Linked DNA regions of Arabidopsis thaliana. The protein of the gene in region 1 interacts with the protein of each later gene in a pairwise test. Each region holds a gene or a part of one and is shown on either strand. Other genes may lie near its edges.

Region 1 (8,153 bases):
GGCGTTGAGTTGGCACCCGACCCGTTGATCTGAACCGTTCGATTTAGAAAAGATTAAACGGCTGAGATGGGAAGAGAGGGAAATGCATGTGGGACCTTATTCACTCAAGTCGCGGTCACGGAACTTCCGAGAAGTGTGGGGTCCACAGTTAGCTGCCAATGTGGAATTGCTCTTATCATCTTTTTTCTTTCTTTTCAATTATTACTTTTTTCACCGCTCTTTTTACATTATTTTTTATTTTTTTCACCTCTCTTTTCCCTTTTTTTTTTTTTCCTTTTGTGGAAATCATCTTTCACTGCTCTTATCTCTTTTTAATTACCCCCACTTATAAATTATTTTTCTTTTGAAAAGTATTTCTGAAGAAGTTGGTATGTTGCCAAAAAAAAATAAAAGTTGGCTTGTTTCGCTATTTTCCAAGGTTACTGATGGGTAAAAATTTGAATTGATATTTCTAAATATTAGGTATTTCTATTCACTTTTTAAAAAAAATTGTTTTCGAATTTTATTTTGGTTTCCATTTAATAATTTTAACATATTGAAAAGATAAAATTACAGTTAAGCAAAAGTGTTAACTTTGACTTTTTTTGTAAACTAATTAGAATATAGGATATTGTATTTAAATATTAATATTTTAATTAACAAAAATAACTAAATTAAAGTACAGTTTTATTTCTATTTAATACCACTGTTAACATATTCTGACATGGTGTAAAACGTCACTTCGTAAGATACATACGAGTACATACAGCAAAATCGTTCGTGGGAATATAAAAGGAAACTAGGAATACAGTAGGATTTCTATTTTTACTTCATAACCCAATAACAGTATTTTCAAATGTTTAATACTCTATATTTATTTAAAATAATACATAAATTTAGTGATTATAGTTAAATATAAGAATGATAGTGACATGGATTAGGCCCCACGTAAAATATAGATTTTGTGTAATTAATTGAATTTGAAAACACCAACAATCTTTGGTCAATGGTCAGGATTCATAACTCTTACTAATAATTAATAACAGTGGAGTAACTCTAACCAGTAGATTTCACATTTTTAACGTTACGCGCCTACAAAGCGCGTGCACAACAAAATTCTAAAATATCCACGTGGTTTCAGTCTATTTCCACGTGGTTAATTACTAAAATGCCACCTGGAGGATCTCCTATCTCTTATTCGTCGGCTCGGATCTTGTTTTTGTCGAAGCTACTCTTTTAGCTTAAATATCCATAGAAAACTAAACTCACGGCCGTTCACGAATATTAAATGTAACAGCCCCGAATTATTCTTAGGTGGCAAGTTGAGATTGGTTGGATTACGTTATCTTTTGAGATGAGTAGTCACCAAAAGGACTTTTTACGACAGTGAAAAGAATTCTAAAGCAAAGAAAATGCCACGTCGGAGTTTAGAGTCCCGCCAAATAAATCTGTCGGAATGCTCTCTTTTTCTTAACTTAACTTGTCGACGAATAAAAAGAAAATTAACTGATTGACTATGTAGATGACACGTGGTGACTTTTCGAGTTATTGCTTTTTGCCAACGTGGCAATAGTATTGATCGTCCGCTTAACCCTAGCCGTCAGAGGAAAATTTCTCAATCAGACCATTAAACATTACATAAAGCGATTATTTTGTTTGGTTTAAAATTCGAATGGTTTTCAATTAAAAAGAAACACAAATAGTATTAAACATATTTTGTACTACTATTTTATAATTGTTTGTCGTATGCGAAGATACGTTTATATGTGTAAAAAATTCCCTTCATTAACGCACTAAGGCATATCGAAAATTGTGAGCTCTTGGTATTTTAATCGTATGATCATATAGTTTATTGGATAAATCATATAGAGGTCTTTAAAATAATATACAGCGAACATGGCACCATGACTGTTTATTCATTATTATAATCATTATCATTTCAAATCTAAGAAAATGCAAGAAAGAAAGTACACATTGCCACAAATTATAATATTTTATACTGTTATGAGACTAGATTAATCGTTGAAGTTATAAACATTACTTTATATTAGAAACAGTTGATAGAAGGCTAGGCAACTGATTAGGACGTATTTGTATATTTCTGTATTTATTATACCTATAATTCGATATGTATTTAGATAAAGAAAAGTCAAAATATTTTATTCCAACATTTAGTGTGAGATATAATTTATTATTTGCGGTTTAAATAATTGATGAGAGATGAGGTATGTGGAAGCCTTTTTTTGCTTATGCTAAAACCATTTTGCTGATATAAAATATGGAAAGAAATAATAATTAAGGTTTTTGGTAATGGCGATTTGCTATTACTTTGACCTAAACTTGCCATGATAGATTGAAAACAATAGGCATGATAGAGAGATCCCATTTTTTTATAATGGACACAACTATACAATTAATTTGGTGGCATAAGAGAGAGTCTCTGATACGTTTGAAAGAAAGTGGTTATGTACACATAATCACAACAAATTATAATATTGTTTGATTATACTTTCTCTATTACAATTGACTGTTTTCTCTTCTTGTTTTTTTTTTTTTGCTTTATATTTGAAAGCTTTGAGGGCCCTGAAAGAAAATATAGCCCCATGCCATAAATAAAGGATCCACATCCATTGGGTCCTCTTTTTCTTTCTTTTGTTTCATGTGTAATCAGGAAAAGAAAAGTTGTAATTTTGTCAATGTAGATGGTATATTAATTGATTTCCATATGAAATTGAATAGTTATGATGATATCAATGGTATCTTTACATGATTTAGTAGCAGCTTCTACAAACTATTACTCTCATTCTAAATAGCAAGGCCATACAATAGCAAAAGATAAGCCCAAAAGCCCATTGACAGGAAAAGTAAAGAAGAAATCAGAACATTCGTAGCAACATTCAAAGAAAGCCGAATCCAAGTATGGCTTAAGCAGAGGTGATGATGTATATACAAGTCAAAGAACTTAAATTCTTTAGAACAAAGTTTTAAACTTGAGAAAAAGCTCTTCTTTTAATCGAATCAATGATACCCAATTGGAGCTGGAGCTTCCTTTAGTTCACGACCTTGGTAGTGAATATCCTACAAAGTAAAACCATAATTGATCAGTAACACACGATTTTAAGCTTTAGAATTTAGTCTCAAGCAAATAATATACTTACAGATGCAAAATGGTTTACATCACGGTGATGAGCCTCGTCAGCACGAACAACCATCACAACATCACGAAGTGTCGCATCAGCAGGAAGCCTCCAGTAATCAATAGCAATAGCCGGAGCAGGAACATTCTCAATGTTACCTTTGTCAAGTTCCTTGAGAAACTCAGTATAAGAATGGATCGCTTCTTCTTCAAGGTACCCAACCATACGATGAGCAAACTTGGGAGAGATTAAGTAACCAAGGAAATAAGCGTTGAAGAAGACTCCTTGCACAGTGATCACGAGCGCTCTCTCGTACCATTTCGGTTTCGCGACTTCCATGAATGTCATAAGATGCATTCTCTCATTCTCTGCTTCCTCAAGAAGAGCCTTAATCCATCCTCCACTTTGCTCAAAACGTCGAAGCGATTTGCAGTGTAGTAACATTCCTCCAACCATTCCAGGTACTGCTGCTACAGTTTCAAGCATCATAGCTCGACATCCATATCTCCTCTGTTTTAATTCACAATATCACAATCAGACCAACAATTAACCAATAATTCATTACATAATGATAATTAACCAACAATTAACCAAGAATCCAAAGCACTAACGAAGTGATTAATATAATAAACACATATATTCCAAAATAATCAAACAAAATATTGACTAGTTGCTATAAAAAGAATGAAATAAAATATTTAAGGTTACACGTAATCAATGACGATATCAGATTTGGATCATTTCCATATCATAAAATTGGCAAAAAATGTAAAGAAATTTTCCATGGGAGAAGAAGAAGAAGAACAGTACCTGGAAGAACAAATCGGTAGGCCAACGAAGAGATTTAACAGTCCAATAAGCTATTCTATCAAGAAACGTCGTTGGAACATGATGCTTCTTCAGATCTATCGTTATATCAGCTTTATACGTTTCCCATGGCTGCAAAAATCCAAAGAAATTTCAACAAATTTACACAGATCAACGAAGAACAACACTGTATACGAATCTAGCTATAACGTACCCTGAAACAGTTCCACTTCCATTCAGAACCATCTTCTTTAGTAATCTTATTAGGTTCAACACCCCAATAGCTCGCGATTCCTTTATCTCCCTTGTTATTACCTCCGGCGGCGTCTCCACCGGTGGATTCGTTCTCTGTTTTCTTCTGATTCGCGTCCTCCTCCTTCATCGGAGTTTTCTCTCCCAGAGTGATCGTGCTAGCGAATCTCATACCTCCAATCGTCGGAGCTCTAGTCCATATCCAAGCAGATGTAACACCAGGCTTCAAAATATGGCTTGCTGATAAAGCCTCGTGAGACGAAACCGTACGGACCGTCGAGAACAAACGTGGTCCAGCCGCCACTAACAGCGATTTCGCCGCCTTGGCTCCACCGCGAGTTATCATCATTGTTTCAAATCGGAAAAAGTGAAATCTCAAATCCAAGAATTTAGGAAAATTGTAGGAGAACTCTTTTTTTTTTTGGTTTACTTTGTCGTCTTTATACGCTTCACACGCAGGTCTCGAGCAAGGTTTATATAGTAAGAAAACGAACGGTTGATGATCGAAACTCTTCACGTAGATGTAATGAGACTATGACACGTGTATAAAGTATAACAGTTTTCTTGTGTGGTTTATATTTAGGATGACTGTGTTACCCTTGTGGTCATGAGAGAGACTATGTTTACGACTTTTCTTTGACTGAGGGTGTTTATGTAAATTTAAAGCCGGTGTAGATTTTTCTTGGAGAGCAAGATGGAAGATACTTGCGTGGTCGCCAAGAGCTAGATTCTTATTGGTCAAATTTAATGATATCGTGTGTGGGTATTATTACGCGTTGTGGTGTTTTAGTATTTTTGCTAATATTCTGTTTCAACTAAGTCAAAATTAGACGAAAATAGTCCTAATTAGATTTTATTGTCAATTTTGTTCGATTCTTTCAAACAAATTTATTCGATTTTCATTATATTTAAGGGCTGGGTGTTCAGTTTTTCGGTTTGGTTTCGTTTCGGTTTTAGGTTTTACGGTTTTTCGATTTTAAGAAAAGTAAAACCATATAAAAACCATATAAAATTCGGTTTGGTTACGGTTCGGTTTTAACAGTTTTACAGTTTTTGGTTTTAAAAAATTAAAACCATTTAAAAACCATATGTATTTTGGTTCGGATCGGTTCCGGTTTGGTTCCGGTTTTTTCATGTTTTTACCAAAAAAAATTATAAGTGTGATGCATAAATAAAATCAAAATCTAATTTGTAAACTCAAATCCTAAATGACGGCATGTAATTTATATAGAATTTTAGTTTAGGTTACAGTTAGGGTTTTGTTTTTCGATAGTTTGATAGATATCATGTTATCAAATGAACATTATATATATATATATACAATTATTTTTAATTTAAATCAAAAACAAAAAAAACGTTCGGTTTTACGGTTTTTAATCAAACCAAACCTAAACCAAAACTTAAATAAAAATTACAATCAAATGGGTTTTTATACAAAACCATAACCAAACCAAACCATTTGTTTTGGTTTGGTACGGTTCGGTTTTTCGGTTTTCGTTTTTTTTCCCACCCCTATTAATTTAACATTTATATATGATGGATTCAAGCCTACTTCATTTTAGTGGGGTTTAATGGACATATCTATGGTTATATTCAAACTTCAAAGCCTTGGGTTTGTAAAGTTTTATTTCTAGCCTAAGTGTATATGTAAACATATCATGTAAGCACTGATTTATTAGGAGAATGAAAACAAACAAAACACTCTTTTATGAAGCAAAAAGAAAGCAAGCACAAATAAGCTTACTCTAAGGCCCACTAAATTTTAACAAATACCCATTAAAGCCCATTTAGGAACAAGGAAAACAAAACTGGACCGTATCAAAACGACAAAACAAAGCTAGAAGCTCTTCAGATTCAATGATATCCAATGGGAGCTGGAGCTTCTTTTAGCTCACGACCTTGGTAATGAATATCCTGCAATTTTTATTAAAACCATGAAAACAATCTAATCATCTTTTAAACATAAGTAAGTTTCCTATAATACAATTCACACTACTTACGGATGCATAGTGGTTAACATCACGGTGATGCGCTTCATCAGCACGGACCACCATGACGACATCACGAAGCGTCGCATCAGCTTCAAGTCTCCAGTAATCAATGGCAATAGCCGGTGCAGGCACATTTTCGATGTTACCATTATCGAGTTCTTTAAGAAACTCAGTGTAAGAGTGGATTGCTTCTTCCTCAAGGTATCCAACCATACGATGAGCAAATTTGGGAGAAATTAGGTATCCAAGGAAATAAGCATTGAAGAAAATGCCTTGAACGGCAATCACAAGAGCTCGTTCGTACCAATTAGGTTTCGCGACTTCCATGAATGTCATTAAATGCATTCTCTCGTTCTCTGCTTCTTCAAGTAGGGCTTTGATCCAACCACCGCTTTGTTCAAACCGTCGAAGCGATTTGCAGTGTACTAACATCCCTCCAACCATTCCTGGAACCGCTGCAACCGTTTCTAGCATCATTGCTCTGCATCCGTACCGCCTCTGCGGTTAACTCGTTGGCAAGATTAGTCCAAACATACAAAGCATTTGAAATGACAAAACCATAGAAAGCTAAGACTGTCACCTGGAAGAAAAGATCGGTAGGCCATCGAAGAGATTTCACGGTCCAATAAGCTAGTTTGTCCGGTAAAGTCGATGGAACATGATGCTTCTTCAAATCTATAGTCAGATCTGATTTATATGTCTCCCATGGCTACAGTTATTCCACACAAAAACTCAAATCATACATATAAATCGACCACAGAGTTCTAATATAATACCAAAGATGTAATGTACCCTAAAGCAACTCCATTTCCATTCAGTTCCATCTTCTTTGGTGATCTTCATCGGCTTCACTCCCCAGTAGCTAACGATTAATTGCTCCCCTTTGTTACCTTGATCAGCCTTGCCACCGCTAGATCCTTTCTCCTCCGTAGTTTTCTTCTTCTCAAATGTCATCTTGCTGAAAACTCTCACGACTCCCATCGCCGGAACCCTAATATTTTCCGTCACGAGAGGAACCCTAGGATTCAAAAGATGGCTGTGAGTCACAGCAGTTTCCATTAGCTTGGCTCCATAGCGACGACTCATCATCATTATGCAGATCGAAAATGAACAGTGGAACTTGATTAATGATAGTGTTTTTTTTTTGTTTTTTTGCATTTGGTAACTCCTAAACTGACATCTATTTATAGCAATTACGGAACTCTAGGATCAATGTATACAAGAAAGCGTAAAATTCGTCTAATTTGACTAAAAGACTTGTAGCACACGAAAAGACAAACTAATCCGCAAGTTTATGCTCAAAAACTGTGGACATTTTTTAAGTAAAAGCTTGTAGTAATAATCTTTTTTCTATAGACTTGGCTGGTGATATTCGTCAGCCGTTTTAATTCATGTTTTGATTAATTAGATTAATATAATTAAAAAGTTAAAAAAATCCTCTGTTCCAAAACAGAGACGTATTTGTGTAGTGTCTTATAGTTTCTTTGATGTATCTAACAATAACTGTGTCGCAAACTGTTGAAACCATTGGACAACCTTCTCGGTTTGAATATCATGGACGCAATTACTTGTTTCAAACCATAGGGTCTGAATGGTTGCAGCGGTTAAGGCGGACAAATCCGTTTATGGACTTGACCGATATTTAGTTACCATTCATAAATTGTGTCTGTAGTTATTTACCATTCATAGAATTGTGCTTATATATACAAATAGAGTTGATCTACATCGGTTTGTTATCCATCCTAAAAATAGAGCAAACTAAACTGCTGAGTGGATTTGTCCATCCCGACCGCCGCCACCATTCAAACAATATAGACGAATCTCAGTGTATCTATGAAACTGATCATTACTAAAATTTACCCAAAATGTTCGCAATAAAATCGATTTTCCCCCCAATTTGATGATTTTGAATCCATCTTGACGATGTCGAAGTAGGATATCCTCGGGTTTTTGATTCCGCTAGCGATGATCGAAACCTCTCCAGACA
Region 2 (8,807 bases), on another chromosome or scaffold:
TTTTTATTAAAGATTATTGTTGGTAAATTTCTAATTAGGCCCATGGGTTATGGAATAAACTAACACATTCATTGAGACAAATTGTGGATGAAAGTGATATAGAGAATGGGAAAAAAAGGTTGACAAAGTTTATTTTCCATGGATTTTAATAATGAACCAAATTGCAATAAGACATGATCGAAGTAATTAATAAATAAAAATTTATAAGATTTGACACGGTTAAATACTAGGGATTTCAAAGATGATAATTGAGTAGGGTTTTTAAGAATGTAACTTACTTGCTCCTCAAGCAAGGGTTTCTTATGACGGAGATAGCTATAGAGTTGGTGATTTACAGCGACCCGTGCCAATTTCTCGGTATCTACGTTGACGGCTCGGAGCTTGGTCAACGGACCAGGTGCTTCTTTAGGGTAGAGCTTAATAAAATCATAGATTATACCCATATTTAGGATCGAATCTCCTAAAAGTTCTAGGAGTTCGTACGATTCACTCTTGTCATCAACGTAACTAGCGTCTGTGAACGCTTTCAGCAACAAACTCTTGTCTTTGAACTTGTAATTTAAGATCTTCTCCAAGGATTCGATCTCCATAAGCTGGTCCGGATCCGCTGATCCGATGGTTTTGGTGTTATCTTTACCGTCGATTGCGTTTGAGAGTTGCGATCCCATAGAGACAAGAGGTGGGTTTGAGGAGAGAGAGATATGTCTTTGGTTAAGTTTCTGTTGTGTTTGTGTCTTGTTCATCTTAAGTCTTCGGTTATGATACCCTTTTTATACACGTCTTAATATATTTGGTATGACTTCTTCAATATTGTTATAGTTGTCAATTGTCATCCTTCTATTATTTTAGTTATTAAATATAGTAGATTCTCATTAATTTTTAGAAGATTTTATAATTGTTTAGAATTGGTCGTTATCACAGCAGATTTTGACTAGTTAATTACATATATATCATATACTTCCTCTGTTTGACACTTCAATACCATTTTAGGTTTTTTGTTTTTATATCATTAATAATATTACATTGTATTTTAAAAGTCAAATTTTATTTTTAAAATCTAGTTTATATTTGCAATGAAGGTTTTATCAATTAGTGATAATAAATTGCTGTTTTATATCTTAAATAACGAAGGGTATAATATAACTAGAAATTAAAACGGAAACTCCCACGTGTTTGGATTTTGGTTTAGATACTTTAATCGAAGCGGACTTGCATAAACTCTTGCTAAAAAACACTTATTTACTAAATCCGAGTATCGATGCGACGATACGGCGATGCTATTAAAAAATAGAAATTAAAAATAGAAAAAAGCAAAATAAAAAGCAATATAACAATTTTGGATATTAGTGTTTTTTTAATACAAAAATAACAATTATTCCAATTTAATACTAAAATAGATAAAAATATTTTGAAATGCAAATTAGGTTAATTTACAAATCCTTTTAGGAATAAATAATTTATAAAGAAATGAATTTGGGATGGAAACGGAAAAAAAGAGAAACAAAATAAAAGTTGACTTTGACTTTGTAAGATTGGGTTGCTGAGTAGTCAGTCCGTGGGACCGGGACAATGAAATTGAATACCACTCATTGACTAAGAACAAATTAGAATAATGGATTGGATTCATTACCATACACAATATTTGCAAAAATAATGTGGTAATATTTTTCCGTAAATAAATTAGATTTCACGATTTTTTTTAAAAATACATCGGTAATTCAATTTATTTTTACACTATCTATATATACATTTTTGCAACCATTTTAGCAAATAAATCCTGGACTTGAACTTATTTACAATCTAATGCCATTAGCATTAAATCTTTTTTCCAAAATAATTAATTTTATTTTAAATTTTTGATTTAAATAGTCAATCACATTATCAATCAAATTTAATCCCAACAAAATTCAAATCAATCCCTTAAAATTAGCATAGACATTTGTTAACAATATTTTAAAACAAAGTTTTTTGTTAAATAAATATTATTCTTACTAACCGTTTTTTGTTTAAATAAATAAATTTTGTATTTAAACTTATTTACAATGTCATGTCACTGACATTAATTATTTATTAATGAAAATATTTAATTAAAGATTTAAATCTTCTAAATCCTTGCTTTTAGAGTTATTATGTCATTACCTTATAAGCAAAAATATTAATTTTTTAAATATTATTATTTATATATTTAAAATTTATAAAACATTATTAATATTTAAACTTATAAAAAGTTTGATATATCACAATTTTTTAACATCATTATATAATATATAGAGTTTAAAAAAATCTTAATTTTTTCTGTCACATTTTATGATTCAAAATTTTAAAAATGAACATATATTAACCAATTGGCAAACAATGTGTGGGTTCAATGTCCTGCATCGACAAAAATATTTAGAGAATGATTTATAAACATATCATAAATAAGATCAATATTAATATAAATAAATGATTTTTTTACAGGACAGGTTTGGCGGGACGGGTTTGGCAGGACGTTACTTAATAACAATTGTAAACTATAAAATAAAAATATATTATAGATAGATACAATTTGCAAAAAAAAAATTATACTAACTTTAAATTAAAATCTAGTGTTATATATGATTTTTGTATTTTCTAAAACTCACACGAAAAAAAACATGACTTGTTTACGAAAATGCCGTTGCATATATACCGAACCAAACCGAGATTCGATAACTTCGGTTATGATTTGGTTAGTAGGGGAGCTAAATTAATGAACTTCAAAGCATAAAATACAATTCATTCCACAATACAAATACGAATAATTGTTTAGTCGTCCTCTCAAGAACTATATCTATAAGCCATATTTCTTACACCTCAGATTGTTATTCAACTAAGAGCTGAGTAAGAAAAAAAAAGGATCAGAAGCAACAAACAATTGAACCCATGATTCCATAAACCTGAAAAAAATGTTATAATTAAGTATTCACTGATGATATTGCCCTTCTTAATCATCGTGCTTAATCTTCTTCAAGGACTGATCCTGATGCTCGAACGGATCGATACAATTCTGCTGGATTGTTTGAAAGTATGTCTCGGTGATAGAGAGCAGAAAGTGTTCAACTACCCGAAGTTTTACCGGTTGCAAGAGTAACTGAAGATGAAAATCGGGGGACGAGCACTGCCTCGTTGCTTACGGATTTCGAAGCTGCTAACTCTTCCAAAAGCTTCCATGTTGCTTCTCGTTTGGCTACAACCTCGGTTTCATTCGCTTCATCTTCTTGGAACTTGGCTAAGCATTCATCAAACAGAATTTGGTCTGTCTCTGCCATTACCTTTCTCACATTCAAAGTCAGACTCTGAACTGCTTGGTTCCAATGCCCCCGTGTGTTTCTCTCCATAGCCGGGAACACAATGGGCATTATCACTTTATGGTTTTGAGTAATCAGGTTTCTTATGTGATCGTTGTTCCATAGAAATAGAGCCCTTTCAGCCACCTGACAAAAGAAGCAACTTTGAATATAACCTGCAAAATTGCGAGACTATATGAACAACTTATCGAGAGTCGCACCTGAAAATGTGAACTGTTGAGGCATCTAGCGATTTGACGAAATAAAGGAACCATACATCGCTGAAACTCAGCTGCTTGAGTTGCTTCCAAAACTTCTTCCAACTCTCCAAGAAACATAACTTCCTTTGAACTATTAGTCACAGGCCAATACTTTAGAAGTCCTCTAATGACCGTATCAGCAAGCTTGAAGTCTTTCTCTACAAACTGAACAATGCAATAAGAAAGCTGTTGATGATAAGCAGATGCACATTTAGGTCTGTGGAGTGGAATCAATGCCCGGATTAGGAAGAGCTTATGCTCTTCTTTTAACGGTAAAGCGAAACCGTTGATTATACTTCCTAGTATCTCAAGCAACTCTGCAATACCGTTATGCTTTTCGGTTTCAAAAATGAATCTGTAGAAGATATTGTTGATCGCCTTTCTGATAAAGGGTCGGTGCACCATGAATTTCCCGTATATCCGATGAAGAATGGTCTTTAGATATTCCCTCTCTCTCTGGTCTTCAGAGTCAAACAAATCCAAGAGCTTCAAGACAAATGAATGGTCAATATATCTCTTTGCAAGCTTTGCATCAGTCATAGGCGAGGCCACAAATCTAAGAAGAAGCTCATAGACAACTTGAAGATGAGGCCAAGCCGGCTCTAAAGCAGGTTCCTCATCATCCACATCAAGCGTTTCGAGAATCTTACTCTCGTGATTCGCAGAAGGAAACGTCCTGAAAAGATTAACAACAGCCACTTTCGCAATCTCTTGCATTGCAGCATCACTCAACTTTGTAGAAACCGTTGCAATATAATCAACAAGCTCAAGCAAAGTCTGTCTCTTTATCTCTTTCTCTCTCAGATTCTTCGACGGATCATTGAAGTCGAACACAACGCAACACATACTCAACTTCTTGATAAACAGATTAGGTTTCTCCGAGGTAGGAACATCTCTAAAGCTTGGCAATGCTTCATAAACTCCATTGACTTGATTGGTTCTGTTAGAGCTCGTTGAAGAAGGAGCAATAACAGTTCCATTTGCTCCATTCGAATTCGATGCGGATGATTTCGAAGAAGGCTTCGAGATACTACTAATACCCGAATTGGGAATGTAATATGAATTAACCCCACCTTCTCCGTTTGGATTCGAGTCATTATGCGAAGATTTTGAAGGTTTTCTGGGCAATTTCCCAAATATCTGTTTGATCATAATTACAGAAACCCTAAATTATCTCCCCACAAAAGGGCCAAAACCCTTCCCTTTTTTTCTCTACTTCGCAACAAGCCTAAACTAAACCAGTAAAACCCAAAAGCTTTGGTTCTAAATCAAAACCCTAATCATTGAACACAGCCCTGCATGTAGACAAAGCCTAAATTCATAATCGGAAACACAATCTCATAAACAGAATCAAAGATTAGCTTAAGAAGATCCAGAGAAAACAACAAAATGTAAACTTTGGAGAGAGGAGGAAGAAGAGGAGCTTACAAATGGCAGATGAGTAGAGAGAGAGATCTGGGCACTGGAGATGAATGAAATCAAGAGAAACCCTAAGAAAATGGCGAGCTTCAAGTAAAAAAGGAAGGATCTTTGTGATAAACCCTGTAAAAACAGCTACTTTTTCTCGCCCTAAACTGAATCGAGAGCAGAGGAAAGAGAAAAAAAGGGGAAAAGGCAACGAAGCCCAGCAAAGAGAAAAAAAAAATCTGGGAAGTTACAGAACACACAACACGAAGATTAAGGTTGTAATGAAAACTAAAATAGGAAAATAAATTAATAATTGTCCTTCGCTATCTCTTCCTCTGTAGATTTTCACTGTAAATCTCAATATCTCTGGCTTTCTTTGGATTCCGAATAACAGACATTATAGAACTGTTTACAAAAAAATAAAATTAATTTTCCAAAAAAAAGGTTTTGAAGAGAACAAGGAAAATGACAGATGGGCAGGTACGTTAATTACCATTATGTCCCTGATATTAGGAGAGCGTATGTGTGTGGAATTTATGCAGAAGCTGGTCAATTCGTCAATTCACGAGTCCAAGGATATAAGTAATTTGCTCATTGGATAATATTTTTTCGATTATTCTTTCTAAAAGATATGGTAGTAGCTAGTCGATTGAAGAAATAAATAAATTATGCAAAAGCTAAACTGCTAAAGTTATTAATAAATCTGAAGAAAAGAGTTTGATAAATCTACGAAAATCCAAAGCCTCTAGAGCGTTGACCAGATAGTTAGAGACTAAAGTCAACGATCAGGTTCAAAAACACAAAAGCAAAAAAAAAAAAAGAGAGACATAAATCGAAGGGATGAGTTATGTAAGTCTAGAATTTCTGGATGACGACGGCATTAGCTATACCAGCTTGCTCGATGGTTTGGTCCAATTCTGTCAATTGTTTAGGAGGGAACCCCATGGTTAGCAACTGGTACTCTTTGGAGCCACCGGGTCTAGAAGCGTCGATAAACCCACGTACATCTCTGACAGTGTGGTGGTTGTTGAACCTGGAGACAAGGCGTGTTCCGTCTGCTAATCTGAGCTGGATAGAGGTTGTCGGTGCTGCTGGATCTACAACTAGCCCTCTTGATGGTGCTGGTGCTACGTTCATTGGGGCAGATGAAGCTTGTGGTGCTGAACTTGAACCAGATCCGCTGGCTCCTAGGGTTCTTCCTACACCTTGGAATGGATTTTTAGGCTTTGGTGGTTCCTGTGAGTCAAAAGATACAGACGTTAAAAGAATCCTATGAGTGGCTTCTCCAGAGAATAGGTTAACGAGATTATTATTGATAGATGGGAATGAGACTTACGGTGAAATTTTCTCCACGCCTGACCAGATCGACATGAACAGGGATCTTCTTATCTGCTGGTTCGAGTTCGCTGGGGCACTCTGACCTTGAGATGCTCTGCAAAAGACAACATATATATTAGGGATTCAAAGACTATCCAAGTGAGTAAAGACAAGTATCAAGCTTGATTTCCATGGAATTGTAGTTACTAATTAGAGAAAATCTGGACATTACATTCATAAAGGCTGCGTTTTCAGGGTCACTGAACCCTCTTAACGGACCATCATTAACAGTGAAACCATTCAACCAGAAAGTGATGGTGTGCATAATCCTTTGAGGCTGCTCTTGCTGTTGTTGCTGAGGAGAAGACGAAACAGCTTCACCAGACAACAAACGCGCAGCTCCAGTGAAGCTTGTAGAAGCTGATCTTGATGGTTCAACAGGTCTGTCTACAGCTGACTGCCTAGCTTGGTCAAAAAGTTCATCAACATCTTTCACTTTCTTAGGATCTTGTACCATCATCCCACTACAACACATTACACAATCCAAAAACAAAACTCTATTAGCGACACAAACATACACTTTCTCCAGCTATATAAGAATTTCAAGAAAGACAATTCAGCTACATACACAAGATATGGTCAATCCCTAAACTATCATTGATCTACGCACATTGCTCAAGTTCATGATCATGTTGCCCTAATTCACTTTCTCAACAGTATTATCATCTAAGTATTTTCCAAACTATGATCAGATCTGTTGAAAATTGTACCTCTTTTGTCCACCGGTATAATACTCATTAGCTTCATCCGAATCACTGCCCTCGCCATCAGCCGGAGAACGGTTCAGATCGGCGAATGTACGGATATTCCCAGCGTGTTGACGACTCCTAGAACTCCGAATTCCCGACGGATTCTCAGTTTCTTTATTCTCTCCAGCACCGCCTCTCGATCGGAGACCGTAGGGAGCAGCGCGAGAAGACGGAGAAGCAGATCGTGATCGGGAAGGAGAGGGAGAGGTTTCAGACGGAGTGTAATCGGGAGAGTGAGATTGAGAAGGAGATTGTGCACCGGCAATAGTAGAAGAAGGTGGTGGTGGCCCGGTAGGGTTTGGTTCGGCGGCTGCGGCGGCATCGTTATCGAGGAAAGTTGAAACGGCAGCGTCTAGATTCCAAGTGTGACTTTCGAGGAAGAAATTAGCTTCTTCTCTTGATGAAGAAGTGATCTCGATGAAGGAGTTTATCAGATTCTCGTTCGTCTCCGTCGCCATCGTCTTCTCGAAGCTTCTTCTGTTGCTAGATTGTTTTTTTTTTCTTTCGTAGCTTTCTGATTTTTTTCTTTCTACTATTTTAATTTTACTATATATATGTAAATATTTTCCTTTTTTCACCGTCAAACTTCTCTCAAGTCTTAACAACATACGTTTCGAATAAACGGTGATGTTAATGGGCCCAAAGGCTTGGCCTTTTAGCCTTACAAAAGGCCTTTTAGTATATAACAGCTAAATTTTCAAGGAAGCAAACTGAGAAGAAACCACATTTTGTTGTTGCCTTTGTATAAATGACTCGTCGTGTTCATTGATCATTAGGTTCGGATTTATCGAGGAACGTCAAAGAGTGGTCGGGGAAAAGAGTCTACTAACCATTGCTCTATCCACATGTTCCGATTCTGTGATAGAGACTTGTAAAAAAGTGTATGTAGAAAGAGAGCATTTTTGAAGTTAGAAATCGAAAACTAGGAACTGGATTTACTGTACCCTTCTGGATAATGATGGTTTGAGATGTGTTGATTTTTTTTTTTGGCGTGTTTCTGAACAATGTGTTTACTAAGTTGGATATTGAAAAGAAAAAAACAGCTAGATATTGAAAATTTAGGAACTAGACTTACTCTATGTTTGTTGAGGACTATGGTTGTTGGAGATATACCAAAATTTGATAATATCAATATTCAATTTCAGCAATAGTTTCTTTGTGTGATGGCATTTAGTTGATCCAATTAGCAATTACTGATGGAAAGTTTTTGGCTTACTAAAATTCAACCATTAGTCTAACCTCACTTACTAAAATGCAACCACTATTATTTTAGTGAGGTTCCATACCCCCTTTTTGAACAAATCATTTTGACCATTTTAGTAATTTTTGGACTAGGGCTCAGTCTCATATTCGATGTGAGACTTTTAACAAACAATCCTCTTAGAAGTTTTACCAGTTGGTATATGCCACTATCATTTGCTCTTTTTTCTTTCTCATAACGTTTATATTTTCTTTCTGATTTTTTATTTTATTTCTATATATATAACTATATATTTCAAAATTATTTCCCCTTTTATAATTCATAAACGCTCTCTAAAATTTTAAATACAATTAAATCAATCTTCAATATATGTTTTTTTTTGTTTGTTTAGAAGTCGAATTATATTACTATCACCAATTAAATATTACATAGTCGTCTATTTTAAGCATTTGAAGTTTTATTTAATTTACTAATATGAATGAATTAAATAAACATTGTTAGCAGA

What was found.
Region 2: the proteins of AOX1A (region 1) and ATB' GAMMA interact in a two-hybrid assay, tested with the Arabidopsis thaliana proteins (one study listed by BioGRID).

The regions. Positions count from the first base shown.
Region 1 is NC_003074.8:7,903,261-7,911,413, reverse strand, and holds AOX1A (alternative oxidase 1A), read right to left. Parts: upstream 4,894-8,153; 5' UTR 4,525-4,893; coding exon 4,138-4,524; intron 4,056-4,137; coding exon 3,927-4,055; intron 3,627-3,926; coding exon 3,138-3,626; intron 3,058-3,137; coding exon 2,998-3,057; 3' UTR 2,668-2,997; downstream 1-2,667. Other genes in the region: AOX1B (alternative oxidase 1B), read right to left, coding at 6,030-6,089, 6,176-6,664, 6,747-6,875, 6,959-7,258. UniProt on the Arabidopsis thaliana protein: Catalyzes the cyanide-resistant oxidation of ubiquinol and the reduction of molecular oxygen to water, but does not translocate protons and consequently is not linked to oxidative phosphorylation.
Region 2 is NC_003075.7:8,813,620-8,822,426, reverse strand, and holds ATB' GAMMA (Protein phosphatase 2A regulatory B subunit family protein), read right to left. Parts: upstream 5,506-8,807; 5' UTR 5,469-5,505; intron 5,397-5,468; exon of another isoform or gene 5,381-5,396; 5' UTR 4,997-5,380; exon of another isoform or gene 4,864-4,996; 5' UTR 4,721-4,863; coding exon 3,530-4,720; coding exon of another isoform or gene 3,456-3,529; coding exon 3,078-3,455; 3' UTR 2,700-3,077; downstream 1-2,699. Other genes in the region: RTL1 (RNAse II-like 1), read right to left, coding at 279-743; PUX5 (serine/threonine protein phosphatase 2A 55 kDa regulatory subunit B prime gamma), read right to left, coding at 5,831-6,211, 6,312-6,407, 6,525-6,816, 7,063-7,559.